2 linked regions of the Arabidopsis thaliana genome follow. The protein of the gene in region 2 interacts with the protein of the main gene of each other region in a pairwise test. Each region holds a gene or a part of one and is shown on either strand. Other genes may lie near its edges.

Region 1 (6,397 bases), 1.2 Mb from region 2:
TGAGGCAGCAATCAACCAAGCCCAGCTAATTATTTGGCCACCTCATGTTATTGTTCAGAATACCAGTACAGGGAAGGGAAAAGAAGGGCGCATGGAAGGCTTTGGAAACAAAACAATGGATAACAGAATTAGAGGTATAACATGCGGCCTTTCACTCCTTATTCTTGCGTTTACATACCTGGGCAGAACCATCTGGAACAGTTCATGAATCTTGCATTGGTTAATCCGCACATTAGGATTCTCTTCTCTCTTTTCCTTTTTTCTTCCCTCCATATTAGAGATGTGCTTGGAAAGTACTAAAGCAGGTTATCTTAATCAATTGGATTTAGACCCAGAGCCTTAGAGATGATTCCCGTATACAATGGCCATAATGATGTCGCATGTCTTTGTTATCCCTGACTTTGTGCCACAATAATCATCTCCTTATCTTTTAGAAGAAAGGTCACGGTCCAAATCCCTCTCTTTGTTTTGCTATCACTAGAAGGATGGCCCAACAGGTGTTTTAAAGTAAGACTCTGGAAACTAACATGATTCAATTATCATCTGACATAGCTTCTCAGGAAAAACCTTCACTATACTTAGACCCCTGCCCGTTTCTCTCCCATGTTTCTCTGTGATTTTGTAAATTTAAAATTGCTATGACTTAGCATAGAATAATTTATAACTCTGGTTTGAGCTCTGATTTCAATACCTTACAATATCAGAATCTAGGCAACAGTGGTGGTCTAAGAAGTATATAAGCTTCTTTAACATAACTTTGTTGGGCCACCATCTTCTCTGGTCTTTTCTCTAGGAATCTCAGCTTCTATTTTTAGAACTTGTGGTTAGGCTAATGATGGGTGTGCAAGTACATGTATCTAGTTATTAGCCTATATCGTGTAACAACACTCAATGACACATTTTGTCTGCCTTCATTTTGATTTCTATATATAATTACAGAACTAGGACTCACTGGTGGGAAATCGAAGTCGTTGTATGGAAGAGAGGGTCATTTGGGAATTACCCTGTTCAAGTTTGCTGGAGACGATTCAGGGCTCAGGGATGCTATGAGAATGGCAGAATATTTTGAGAAGATAAACCGTGGGCGTAAGAGTTGGGGGAGGGTACAGCCACTCACTCCAAGCAAAGATGATGAGAAAAACCCTGGTCTTGTCGAGGTTGATGGGAGGACGGGAGAGAAAAAGAGGATCTTTTATGGTTATCTCGCGACTGTAACGGACTTGGACAAAGTCGATGTGGAGACAAAGAAGAAAACCACAATCGAGAGCCTTAGAGAACTCACAAGAACAAAGTAAATTACAGTTTTCTTCTCCCACGAAAGGTACACTTAACTTTCGAGGTATTTGTTGCCTATTGAATCTGGATTCTTAGTCGCAACCTAAAAAACTCGAAAGGAGGAACGAAAGTTTTTTTTTTTTTTTTTTTAATTTATAGATGAAGTCTTGGTCTCTTTGATCCTTCGATTCAGTGTTCATATTGCATAGTCTAATATCGGTTGAACCTGATATATACAAGTTCTCTTTACCAACATCCTTAGAAGTATATTGTGATAGTTGCTTGATGCTTTTGATGTCCCTGTTGATTCTCCTACGTTCGTTTCTTCTTTCCTTGTTCTATCTCATCCTTTCGAATAGTGGTTCCTGCTTGTTCTTTAGGCTTTAGCCAGCCTATGGAAATGAGAATATTGAACCAACCAAACAATGTTGCCATAGTGCCATTGTATTGATGATGTCTATGACATTGAGTTATTGTTTTTGTTTGCACTCTGGTAGTAGCTTTATGTATTTGGTCACCTTAGATTGGTGACAACAATGGTGGTGTTTAGTTTAAGCTAGCTATCTTCTTTGAATAAAAAAAAATAAAAAAAAAATTATAAATTGGTATGAAAACAAAAATAAACATTAGATAAGAGGACTTGTATTTTGTGGGGGCTTTTGGTAACCACTATATAAATTTTGTTTTGTCTTTGTTTATAACTCTTTAATTGACAAGTTAGGTATAAAGTGTTTTGACGATTTTTTCCCCTCTACTTTCTTGTGTTCTGATAAACTTTATTACATGTCTTCATTCAAATCTTTGGTTCGCTCTGGCTTACCAATTTACACGTTTTGTTAAAGGAAGTTTGATCAGCTTCGGTTTAGGCCGTGTGATTAAGAATTTAAGATAAACCTTAACACTTATGAAAGTAATCAAGCACTATCCGGTAGTGAAAGTTAATATAACATATAGGATTATAGTTTGGCCAATATCATAACAACTAGGATATAATTTTATGAATGTACAATATGCAGGACAAAGTACTTTGTATCTTTTGATAGAGTTACATGCACTATAAGAGAATTAAACATATTAGAAAAAAGACTAGATTATGTAAAATGTCATAATCATATTACTATAAGACTAGCTAGACTGAGGTCAAATCAATGCATAAATTTAAATCATTATCTCTTTTGAATTCGATTATCTCCCTCACATTTTTCAAATTTCTCTACTCACTTTTTCTATAAAGCGGAAACAGTAATCGGCGGTTCATATGTAGTCGGCCATTACGGACCCATTTAATTAGATAAATTATTCTTAGCCGTCAGTTTCATATTTCGTCTCATTCTAATTTTGTAATGTTTCTCTAACCTTTTTGTAACTATAAAATCATACTCTAATAGCAAGAGGTCTAAAAGAGTAATGGATATTTCCCCTCAATAATGTGTTATATGTCACTGTCCCGTTTTAACATTTTGTACATATCAACAGAAAAAAGTTTTTATGATATATCCATTCCACTGATGTCAAAAAAGCAATAGCTTTAATAAAACCAAATTCAAAATTTCGTTTTTATTCTATTCTTCTGTTTTGATATCACAAAGATATTAAAAACATAGTACGAAGATTAGTTTTATATGTGTACTAATGAATCTTCTTTGTGGTTGCTTCATTATCACGTTTTAACATTTGTCACGCGTGCCCTGATTTCATTACAGCCTTTTCTACAAAACACATGCATTGTTCTTCTTCTTACATTACTACATTACACTACACAAAGAATTTCATATTAATTATAACAACATTTTTTTTTTTTTGCTATACTATATAGTTTTTTGTTATTCAATTGGTATTTTACCGGCAATGCTTCACTGGTTTCCGACTCAACGCATGTGGTGGTCAGTGGGCTTGGCCCACTTATCTCTTTCACCTTTTTTTTTCTTTATACGAAAAATTAAAGCAAAGCTATAGTAATAGTACTTATTATTATTACCACGTCATCACCCAACTCTCTTATACTACGCATATCACGCTAAGCTACGCGTCGACGGCGCAATATAGAAGAATATGTAATAATCGCGCCTTTAATCAGACTCCACTGAGACGTGTCGCTATTTCGAGTTGTCCACGTCACTGTTTCTTTTGTCTCTTATCTTCTTCTTCGTCTCTTTACTTTTTTCCCATTTCTAGGGTTTCTTCAATTTCACTCTCTCTCTTGAGTTTATTCTTCTCTGCTGTATCAATCAAATCAACGGAGTTTGAGTTTCTTTTCCGATTCCGGCGATGGGGTCAGTCCCCGATCCAGGCGAGTTAACTGAGTTAGCTCAGCCGAGTTTCGAGGAGTTTCAGAAACAGACGTCGTTGATGACTAGCTGTACTCTTCTATGGCAAGAGCTCTCCGATCACTTCACTTCTCTAGAGCAGAATCTGATGAAGAAATCTGAAGCGTTGAAGCAGATGATTGAAACTCTAGATAACCAGACTCAGACCTCGCTCGAGTCTCTGAAGCGTAGAGAGGTAACAATCGACCATAGCGTTGAGATCGTAGCTGGGAAAGTAGGTGAACGAGCTAGAGCTGCTCTTGAATCGTTAGAGAAAGCTAGAGATGGTTGTGGTGATGGTTCTAATGATGATTCCGGTGATGTTGACGATGAAGAAGGTCTTCTTTCTGCTTTGAAATCTCTTTGTCTTAAAATGGATGCGAGAGGTTTTTGGAACTTTGTGACGGCGAGGAAGAAGGAGTTGGAGAATCTCCGGTCAAAGATTCCGGCGGCGTTGGTTGATTGTGTAGATCCGGCGATGTTAGTGCTTGAAGCGATATCTGAGGTTTTTCCGGTGGATACAAGAGGAGATAAAGTTAGCAATGATTATGGATGGGCTTGTGTTGTGATTCTTGAGAGTTTAACACCTGTAATTGTTGATCCAGTGATTGGGAAATCGAGGTTGCTTGTTACTCCGAGTGTTAAGGAGAAAGCTAAGGAGATTGCTGAGACGTGGAAGAAGAGTTTGGAAGAGAGAGGAAGGATAGAGAATGTGAAGACTCCTGATGTTCATACGTTTTTGCAGCATCTTGTTACATTTGGAATTGTTAAAAGTGAAGATCTTGCTTTGTATAGAAAGCTTGTTGTTGGATCTGCGTGGCGTAAACAGATGCCTAAGCTTGCGGTTTCTGTTGGTTTGGGTGATCAAATGCCTGGTAATCCTCTTAAGCTCTTATCTTCTACCTATTAGTTTTTTATCCTGGCATGCTCATTGTAACTTGTGAGATCATATATGGTTTTGAAATTGGCTAGTTTACTAATAGTTTAACCCATCTAGATGTATAGTTTTGGTAGGTTACAAATAGTTTACGAGTTGATTAGTCGAATATTAAGTTTGTGTGGCAAACATTGTATGGCATAGATTGTGGTGAAGTCTGAGACATTAGTGGTACAAGGTGTTATTGACCACAGACTGTGTGAAGTTGAAGCCTTTTTCTCTGTATCTCGTTTTATAATATCTGAACTTACAAGTTGTTGCGCTGTCCACAGACATGATTGAAGAATTAATCAGCAGGGGACAACAGCTTGATGCTGTTCATTTTACTTATGAAGTTGGGCTTGTGGATAAGTTCCCTCCTGTTCCTTTGCTCAAAGCTTATCTAAGGGACGCAAAGAAGTCAGCAGCTTCTATCATGGAGGACTCTAGCAATACTGGCCGAGCTACGGTATCTACTCATTGCATCTACTCATTTCTATCGCAGCTAAATATTTTTATCTGTGCGTCCCTGAAAGTTAATATCTTCCTTGTTATGTTTTCTTCCTAAGCATCTCGTGGCGCGCAAGGAGCAATCAGCACTTAAGGCGGTTTTAAAATGCATAGAAGAGTACAAACTCGAGGAAGAGTTCCCTCCAGAGAACCTCAAGAAACGGTTGGATCAGCTAGAGAAGACCAAAACCGAGAAGAGAAAGCCAGCAGCTGTTCCTGCCAACAAAAGAACCCGAGCCAGCTACAACGGTCCAATGCCACCAGCCAAAGCCGGGCGTATCACAAACGCATACGTCTCTTCCTTCCCGTTCATCAGATCACCCTCTCACTCTCCTCAATACGCTTCACCAGCAGCTTACCCATCCCCACCTACAACAGTCTACAGCAACAGAAGCCCACCTTATCCATACTCTCCGGAGATCATCCCAGGCTCATACCAAGGCTCTCCTATCGGTTACCCAGCGTACAACGGTTATTGTAATGGTCCAGTTCCTGCTCCAGCTCCTCCAGTTTACCACCCACACCATCATCAACACCACCAATTCCACCATCAGCAACATTACTACTGAATTAGAAGACAGTGTGACAACAAAACAAGGAAGAAGATTGGTAATAACCAACAAATCACTGATACTGTGACAACTGCTACTACTCTGGTGTTCTCTCTCTCTGGGTCTATTGTCTTCCTACGTCGTCGTTTTTGTCTGTAATATCTCTTTCTCAGCCTAACTCTCTTAGTAACTTAGCTTATATCCTCTGGTGTGTTTATTATTAATCGCATATAAAACAAAACTCAAGCTTTTGTAATGTCTAATATTCAGTCAACAAACTTATATTTCTGTACTCTGTTAATCGAATGACAAACTTCTCTTCGTCACCAACTATCTCCGATCAAATCTAACATCGGAGGTCGTTGCTTTGAAGACATACCCACCAGTTCTCTGTTGAATTGCATTTCTTCTTCATTGAGCAAAGTGGTGATTCAATTTCGGTACAAGACACAAAGCCAGTGGTGAGAAATTTCTCTTTACCAACCTTGCACACCAGATGTTCGACGATATGTCTCTTTGAAATCTTACCGTTTAGTTTTCACGTGCGTTTTCAGAATTGGTCTCTTTTCCTTCAATGGCTTTGATGGTTTTGAGAAGAAAGTGTCTCCGTTTGCCAGATTTTATCTCCGTTTTTCGACCTGCACCGCGTTGCTTCTCCTCGAGATTTTCCAACAGTGAAAGTGGTAAAGTTACAGTGACTGGTTTGAGTGGTTGTGGTATAGAAACTGTGGATGATGATGTTTGGCATGTTTCATCATCTTTATCCCAAGCTTGGAGACAGTTCCAAGCAGACACTGCAAAAAACTCTCCCGTTACAATACAAGGAGTAAGAGAAACAA
Region 2 (6,397 bases):
TTGCTCCTGACAAAGAATTTGAGTGATTTCTGTCCAAAAGAGACCATTCTTCTAGATAACACATCTACAATTCCCAAATACAATTATTTCGTCAGTCTCAAAAAGGTTACAACATTTTAAAAAACATTTCTATGAATGTCATTTTTTTTTCTATGAATATGTCATAATCTCTCTTTTTTACAAGTGAATGTCAGCAATTAAAAAAACTTTTGAATTTTGAAATAAATATGCTTTCATGTTTCTTAACGTGCTTCCTTGTCTAAGATTCAGAATGCCATGAGATGATGATTTTAAGCAATCAAGATAATAACTTCCACAGAAGCAGAACTAAGAAAAATGTACCACATTCACTTGTAAGATCGTAACGGTGCAGTTATCATTTGGCAGTACTTAATTGTATTCAATTTACTTTTCCATTATAACAAGAAGTTTTTTTAGAAATACTAAGCCACATTCCTGAAGATACTTGTTTAGTCTCAAAACTTGAATGGTGCCACTAAATTTAAGCTAAGAATATAAACATGAAAAAGTTTCTTGTTCAAAGAATTAAAATTATGAAGTTGCTAGAAGTTCATATTCTCACCTGCTCCTTCAAGATGGAAGCTAGTTTCAGTTTCTGCCTCATCAAGAGCAACTTGATCCGTTTCAGAGTGACAGAATGGCGCAATTCCGAGATTGATACCCATGCATTCCACAGGATTTTCTGTCAAGAAAAGAAAAAATGAGTTCACCAGAATGTGTCTAGTTTATTGGACAAAATCAATAACTCAACTTTCTAAAAGAGTATCCTATCATAACGATATCTAGACTTCATAACTGTGTTAATGCTTACTCCATTCATATTTTCATCTATGTCATCACATCAGCATCAGGCAAAAGTTAGCATGCAGCACAATCCAAAACGTAGAAACTAAATTAAACACTATTCTAGGTCCAAGAGGCTTAGCATCAGATCTCCTCTTACCAGAGAAGTATTAATAAGTCTTCCCTGTTGGTAAAATACAAATCGTGTTTCTAGCATTATCACGAAAGAAATGCGTACTTTAGAGGCTTAAGCATTTGCATTGCATCAGTGGCTAAAAGTAAAATACCAATAATGATTTTCCTAAGTCTGCTGCAGTGGCTAACTAAAGACAATTACAATCAGCAGGCACACACATGACACAATCATAAACTCAATTATTAAGCATTAATGCGGTAATCTAAAAGAAAGGATACCTCTGCACTCAGTCTTTGTACCATGAGAGTGGAGTCTGCCCTCGCATTGGCAAACCGCCACTGCAGATCACGGTTATACAGAAGCCTCAACAAGTGGGCATCCATAACACGATCCTCCCCAATTTTACCCCTCCTAATATCAGCAGAGAAACAAAGAATTGAAGGCAAGGTGCGGTTATAAGCATTCATTTGTTCAGAAACTCCATTTCTCACTCGAGAAGGACTAGATGATGTCCTAGCTGGAGCTGATGTAGCTGTTGCCCAAAGCTTACTTGGTGAAGCAGGGCGAGTAGCACCCCTTATTGGAGAAGTCATACCACGAGGAGATGATGTCAACGGACTATCACTAGAGAACCGTTTCGATTGACTGAACTTTGATGAGATACTACTGATTCTCGAACTTGGGCTAGAACATTGAGGTGAGCCAGGATCCTGCATCCGCCTTAACCTGCTATTAGTCTCTTGCCAGAATTTAGTAGAAGCCATACCATTACGCGGCAAGCTCCTTGTTTTAGAAACCTCACCAGAACCACATTCATGCGCACCATTAGTACTACCAGATGAAACACTATCAGTATCAGATGCAGTAAAGTCACACGAAACGCTAGAAGCCAATCTTGGATGTGTGCTTTGTCTTGCCTTGTTCTCATCTCTCATTTCCAACATTCCATCACCTCCTACAAAACCTAAATTCAATCTCCCATCACCAGAAACCCTAGAACTCTGCGAATGCTGCAACATTGACCTTCCCACAAAGCCAGATCCAAGCTTCCTCCCATCATCACTGTCAGAATCCACGCTTCTAGAAAGCGAATTCGGCACAACAGATTCAGAACTTCCCCTCCGAGAAGCACCAGGCCACAGTTGCTGATCCACCGGCTTTGAATTCTCCCGCTGATCTCGAACAGGTGTCGCTCTCCGCCGCTCCGGAGTACATTTCCGGTGAGAAACCGGCGTGGCAGTCTCCTTCTTCTTACTAATCGGAAACGAAAACGCCTCTCCTTGAAAGGAAACAGATAAACTCCTCGTAGAAGTGATAAGCATCTTCGTCGCCGCCGACATTTCCGTTCGGGTGTCAGAAACTGCCGACGGACGACGACGGTCCACCGATTGAGACCGTTTAGGTAACGAGGAAGGCGTATAAACCAAATTAGAAGCAGAATTCGTCGTGCGAGAGAGCAAAGGGGAAGGATATCGCTTACTAGACCTCAGTATCACAGACGAAGAAGACGAAGTCGAAGTAGATGTAGCAGTGGTCGTCGTCGTCGTCGTGGAATGTGAAGGAGAAGGGGATAAGTAGCGTGAGGGGACATTTTTAGCAGCTCTAGGTCTTCGTTGTAGTCCGCCATTGTTAGCTGTGAGCTGAGGTTTGTCTTGCCGATCTCGAGGTGGAGGATTCTTAGAGTCGGTGTTGGAAATTGCTGCTCCTTGAGGAATCGCAGCCACCATTATCTACGAGAAATGTCTCGCTGCTTCGTCTTCTTCTTCGTCTTGTTGTTCTTCGAGATCTTCACAGTGCATTACAGAGATTTGGCAGTTGCTTCTCCTCACTCTAACTTAGAGCAAATAAATTCTGCAAATCCAAAGTGAATTTTGTTCAGAGAGGATTTTGCATATTTGTCTTTGCTTCAGAGCGAAGAGAGAGAGATGTGAGAATTGAAGAAAGGGTGGGGTTTCTGGATTTGGGGTATTCTGATGAGCTCATCTTTTTTAATTTTCGCTTTTTCGGAGGTTTGATGAACTTTTGCATTAACTCTGTTTTCATTGGCTAATTAAGCTGAATTTAAATTACCTAATTTATTTGCTTTTTAGCCAATTAAAGAGAAATCCGAAAATAACGACATTAATAATGAGCCATGACTTTATATGATAAGCTCTCGGTATTAAAACTGTAAAAAATTTACGAATTTTAAAATCAGAACTTTGCAGAGTTGAAATTATGCTTTGTGATTTCTACTAAACTAGCTTGTCGATGTGCTGTTATCCAAAATTTTTAAAGTATGATAATGTATTAATGTGACTAAGTGATAACAAAAATTATAAGCTGTGATGCATTTGGAGGAGGTTAACATGTTTTTTTTATATTCGTTCTTATGAAAGACCACAGCGATTTTCTACTCTTTGGTCGATGAAGAAACTCACATTAGCTTATATTTGCCATGGCTAAGGACCAGAGCACCAATCTCAGTTTCTGCATTATTTTCCAGAATGTGAAGAAAAGAATGGTGGGTTACTAAAATGTTGTGCATGTAGCAGGAACCATCATATTAATGGAATAGAATGAAACCAGCACCGACCATTTCAAGGTATCTTCTTAGAATTAGGCCACTAAATGAAAGCCCACAACAAAAACAACCCTTTTCATTTGAATTTTTCAAAATTAGTTCACCACTAAACATTTAAAAAGTTTGCAACAGAGATAAACGTAACTAGCTAGGGTACTGTTTCCGTGATCAGATAAGCAATTCTTACACACGAACTATATACAATAACAGACAGGAGAAAATCTGTTATTCTTCTTGGATCCTAAAGAAGACTAGTTAATCAAGAAAGTCTCTTTGTCTGTCATCGACAATTCATCACAAGGTCTTTTGTGCTTTGAGGCATTTAACTTCAAACAGAGAAAATTTTATACCCTTGCAATATTTGAGGTTAGTGCTTATCATAAAGGCGGATCCAAATGAAGGCAAATCTTTAGAATCTAAATGTAATGCATGTTTGTTCTAAATGACTGACTACTAAACAAGAAAATCCAAAGAGTTAATATATGAATTAAAAAAGAGATGCAAGAAACTAAACAAAAAACCATCCTTGTAGAGACCGGGCCTACTTGGAATATAAGAGTACACAAATGGCCAAGATGTAGTAGATTCTCCGAGATACACTTCTTTGTAGTATCCATCCTTTCCAATCATATAAGCTGTGAAGTTGGTCCAATCTTCTCTGTCTTTACAGAAAACCAATGCTACTTTCTTCTTCTCGTCCACGAATAAGCTCACATCTATATTCCTCAATCTTTCATTGAACACTGACCTATCCAGTTTCAAGAAGTAGCTCCACGACACCGCGTTGGGTCAATCTTAGTTGTAATCCATATCTCCATCTCACATGCATTCGACCTCTTAAATAACACTACACGCTTTTCTTCTCTAACAGAAGATAGAGTCACAGCATCGTCAGGATAAGATTCAAACGGCAGATGCATGTTCGGTCCAAAACTCTCGTTTGTAAAAATCAAAGCAAAGTGAAACATTTGTCATCACTCCTTCCAATCTTTCCTGAGCAACAAAGTAATTGTTACCCTTCACGGACACGCCCCGAAAACTATAGTTTAGTATATACCAGTACCAGGAGTGACATCAAGAACCGTTCATATGTTACACTTAAGATCGAAGATTTCGTACTTAAGAACTCGTTGCGCAACATTGTGATCGTAATAAATAAATACCTCGATATTTTGTGGTTACGGTTGTTGTCGTATCCAAGAGCATACCTTTCTAGTCTGTGGTAACTACTTCTTGGTTTGATCCACCTCGAGGCTAGTGCTGTCCTTAGTGACGCATAGCAACAAGCCATCGCAGTGAAAGACGTTCGTTAACAAATGAATTACATACTCTTTTATAGATGGATCTACCAAGTCTTTGTGGTCATGGATTCCATGGAGGTTGACGCTCATTAAACAAGCCCTAAAATCATTCAACATGATCACCAGATGCTTTACCACAATGCTTCTTTGTAAAGCTTGGTTCCTTAGATAAAACGTTCCACTTTTTAATAAATATCATGAAAAAAGCTGTTGTTGCTACTGAATTAAAATTAGTAATGGGATTCTCGATTGAGTTTTTTCTTTAAGCTAAGAAATTTTCTGGAACTGAAACGAGAAGCATTTTTTGCTCTGTTCCAAGACAGAGCAGGCACAACATTTGTTTTTCTTATTTAATTCAACACTTGCTATGTTTCACTTAGGAGGCTAATATAGTTTTCAGCAGTCTTTTTGTAAGAGCTAAGAGACTATGTTATTTGACATATGACCCTGTTCGGCACTTGGTTGGCAGCGACTACAAAATAGATATCGACTGAGTTTAAATCATTAAATGAGTCGCCGCAAAAGCGATCCTTTTTTTTGTAACGTGACACCCTCTCTTTGTCTTAGGACACCTCCATCATATGAATTGTCTGTCTTTTTTAAAAGAATTGACTAAGAAGAAAGTAACAAAAGGTTATTGGGAATTTGAAGGACTCTTCTAAGCAATGTGGCTACCAATAAATGCCAACAAGAAACAATTATTTCGAGAATCAAGTTTTTGTCTCATCAACTAATTAAATCAGTAATTTATAAGAATGAAAAGCCAAAAAGAGTAAATGAATGAAAAGAAAATGCAAGAAACAAATAACATTCTGGTAGATTTAATACTCGACATTACTCAGACTTGCACACAACTTGGAACATAAGAGCACATAGATGGACACCAGTTAGATTCTCCGAGATCCACTTCTTTGTAGTATCCATCCTCTCCAATCATGTATGTCTTGTTGTTGATGCCTTTTTCTTTTTCTCTGTTTATACAAAAAAGCACTGCTACTTTCTCTTCCACGTCAACGAAGAAACTGCCACCAGATATATCAACCTTGAAATCAAATTTTAAGAAGTAGCTCCACGACACTGCATTGGGCTCAATCTTTGTTGTAATCCATATCTTCGTCTCATATGCATCACACCTCTTACATAACACTGCAAGCTGCTCTTCTTGAACAGTAGATAGAACTAGAGAAGTTTGATTATAACATTGGAATGGAAGAGGGAGAAGCGGTCCAAATCTCTCATTTGTAAAATCAAAACAGAGTAAAAATTCTTGAAACCCTACTTCTTCCACTTCCATTTTTTTATAAGCAATAAAGTAAGTATTTCCTTTCAGAGACAGACATTCATCACGCGATATCTGCCAATCGGTAGGGAAACTAAGAACTATCCATGATTTAGACAAAAAACTGTAGATTTCATACTCAATGCGGCCAAACATAGGGGAATAAACCACTAAAATTTTGTGGTTTTTGTCCTTGTCGTAGCCCAAACAATACCAATCATATATGTAGAATTTGTCGATGGGTTGGATGCACCTGGTTTGTGCCAAATACGGGTTCCATACCACGAGCCTAGTATTATCCTCATTGGTGATGC

The links. Proteins that work in one complex are often made in the same cells at the same time.
Region 1: the proteins of SCO3 (region 2) and AT3G22440 interact in a two-hybrid assay, tested with the Arabidopsis thaliana proteins (one large-scale study listed by BioGRID).

Annotation. Positions count from the first base shown.
Region 1 is NC_003074.8:7,956,311-7,962,707, forward strand, and holds AT3G22440 (FRIGIDA-like protein), read left to right. Parts: upstream 1-3,442; 5' UTR 3,443-3,543; coding exon 3,544-4,456; intron 4,457-4,790; coding exon 4,791-4,966; intron 4,967-5,066; coding exon 5,067-5,576; 3' UTR 5,577-6,061; downstream 6,062-6,397. Other genes in the region: AT3G22430 (RNA recognition motif XS domain protein), read left to right, coding at 1-134, 940-1,295; AT3G22436 (uncharacterized protein), read right to left, coding at 1,588-1,710; AT3G22450 (Ribosomal L18p/L5e family protein), read left to right, coding at 6,133-6,397.
Region 2 is NC_003074.8:6,794,048-6,800,444, reverse strand, and holds the start of SCO3 (SNOWY COTYLEDON protein (DUF566)), read right to left. Parts: upstream 2,975-6,397; 5' UTR 2,668-2,974; coding exon 1,219-2,667; intron 704-1,218; coding exon 584-703; intron 65-583; coding exon 1-64. Other genes in the region: AT3G19565 (F-box/associated interaction domain protein), read right to left, coding at 3,539-3,546, 4,025-4,251, 4,284-4,423; AT3G19560 (F-box family protein), read right to left, coding at 5,643-6,397. UniProt on the Arabidopsis thaliana protein: Probable microtubule-associated peroxisomal protein required for chloroplast biogenesis and for the formation of the prolamellar body and prothylakoids in etioplasts.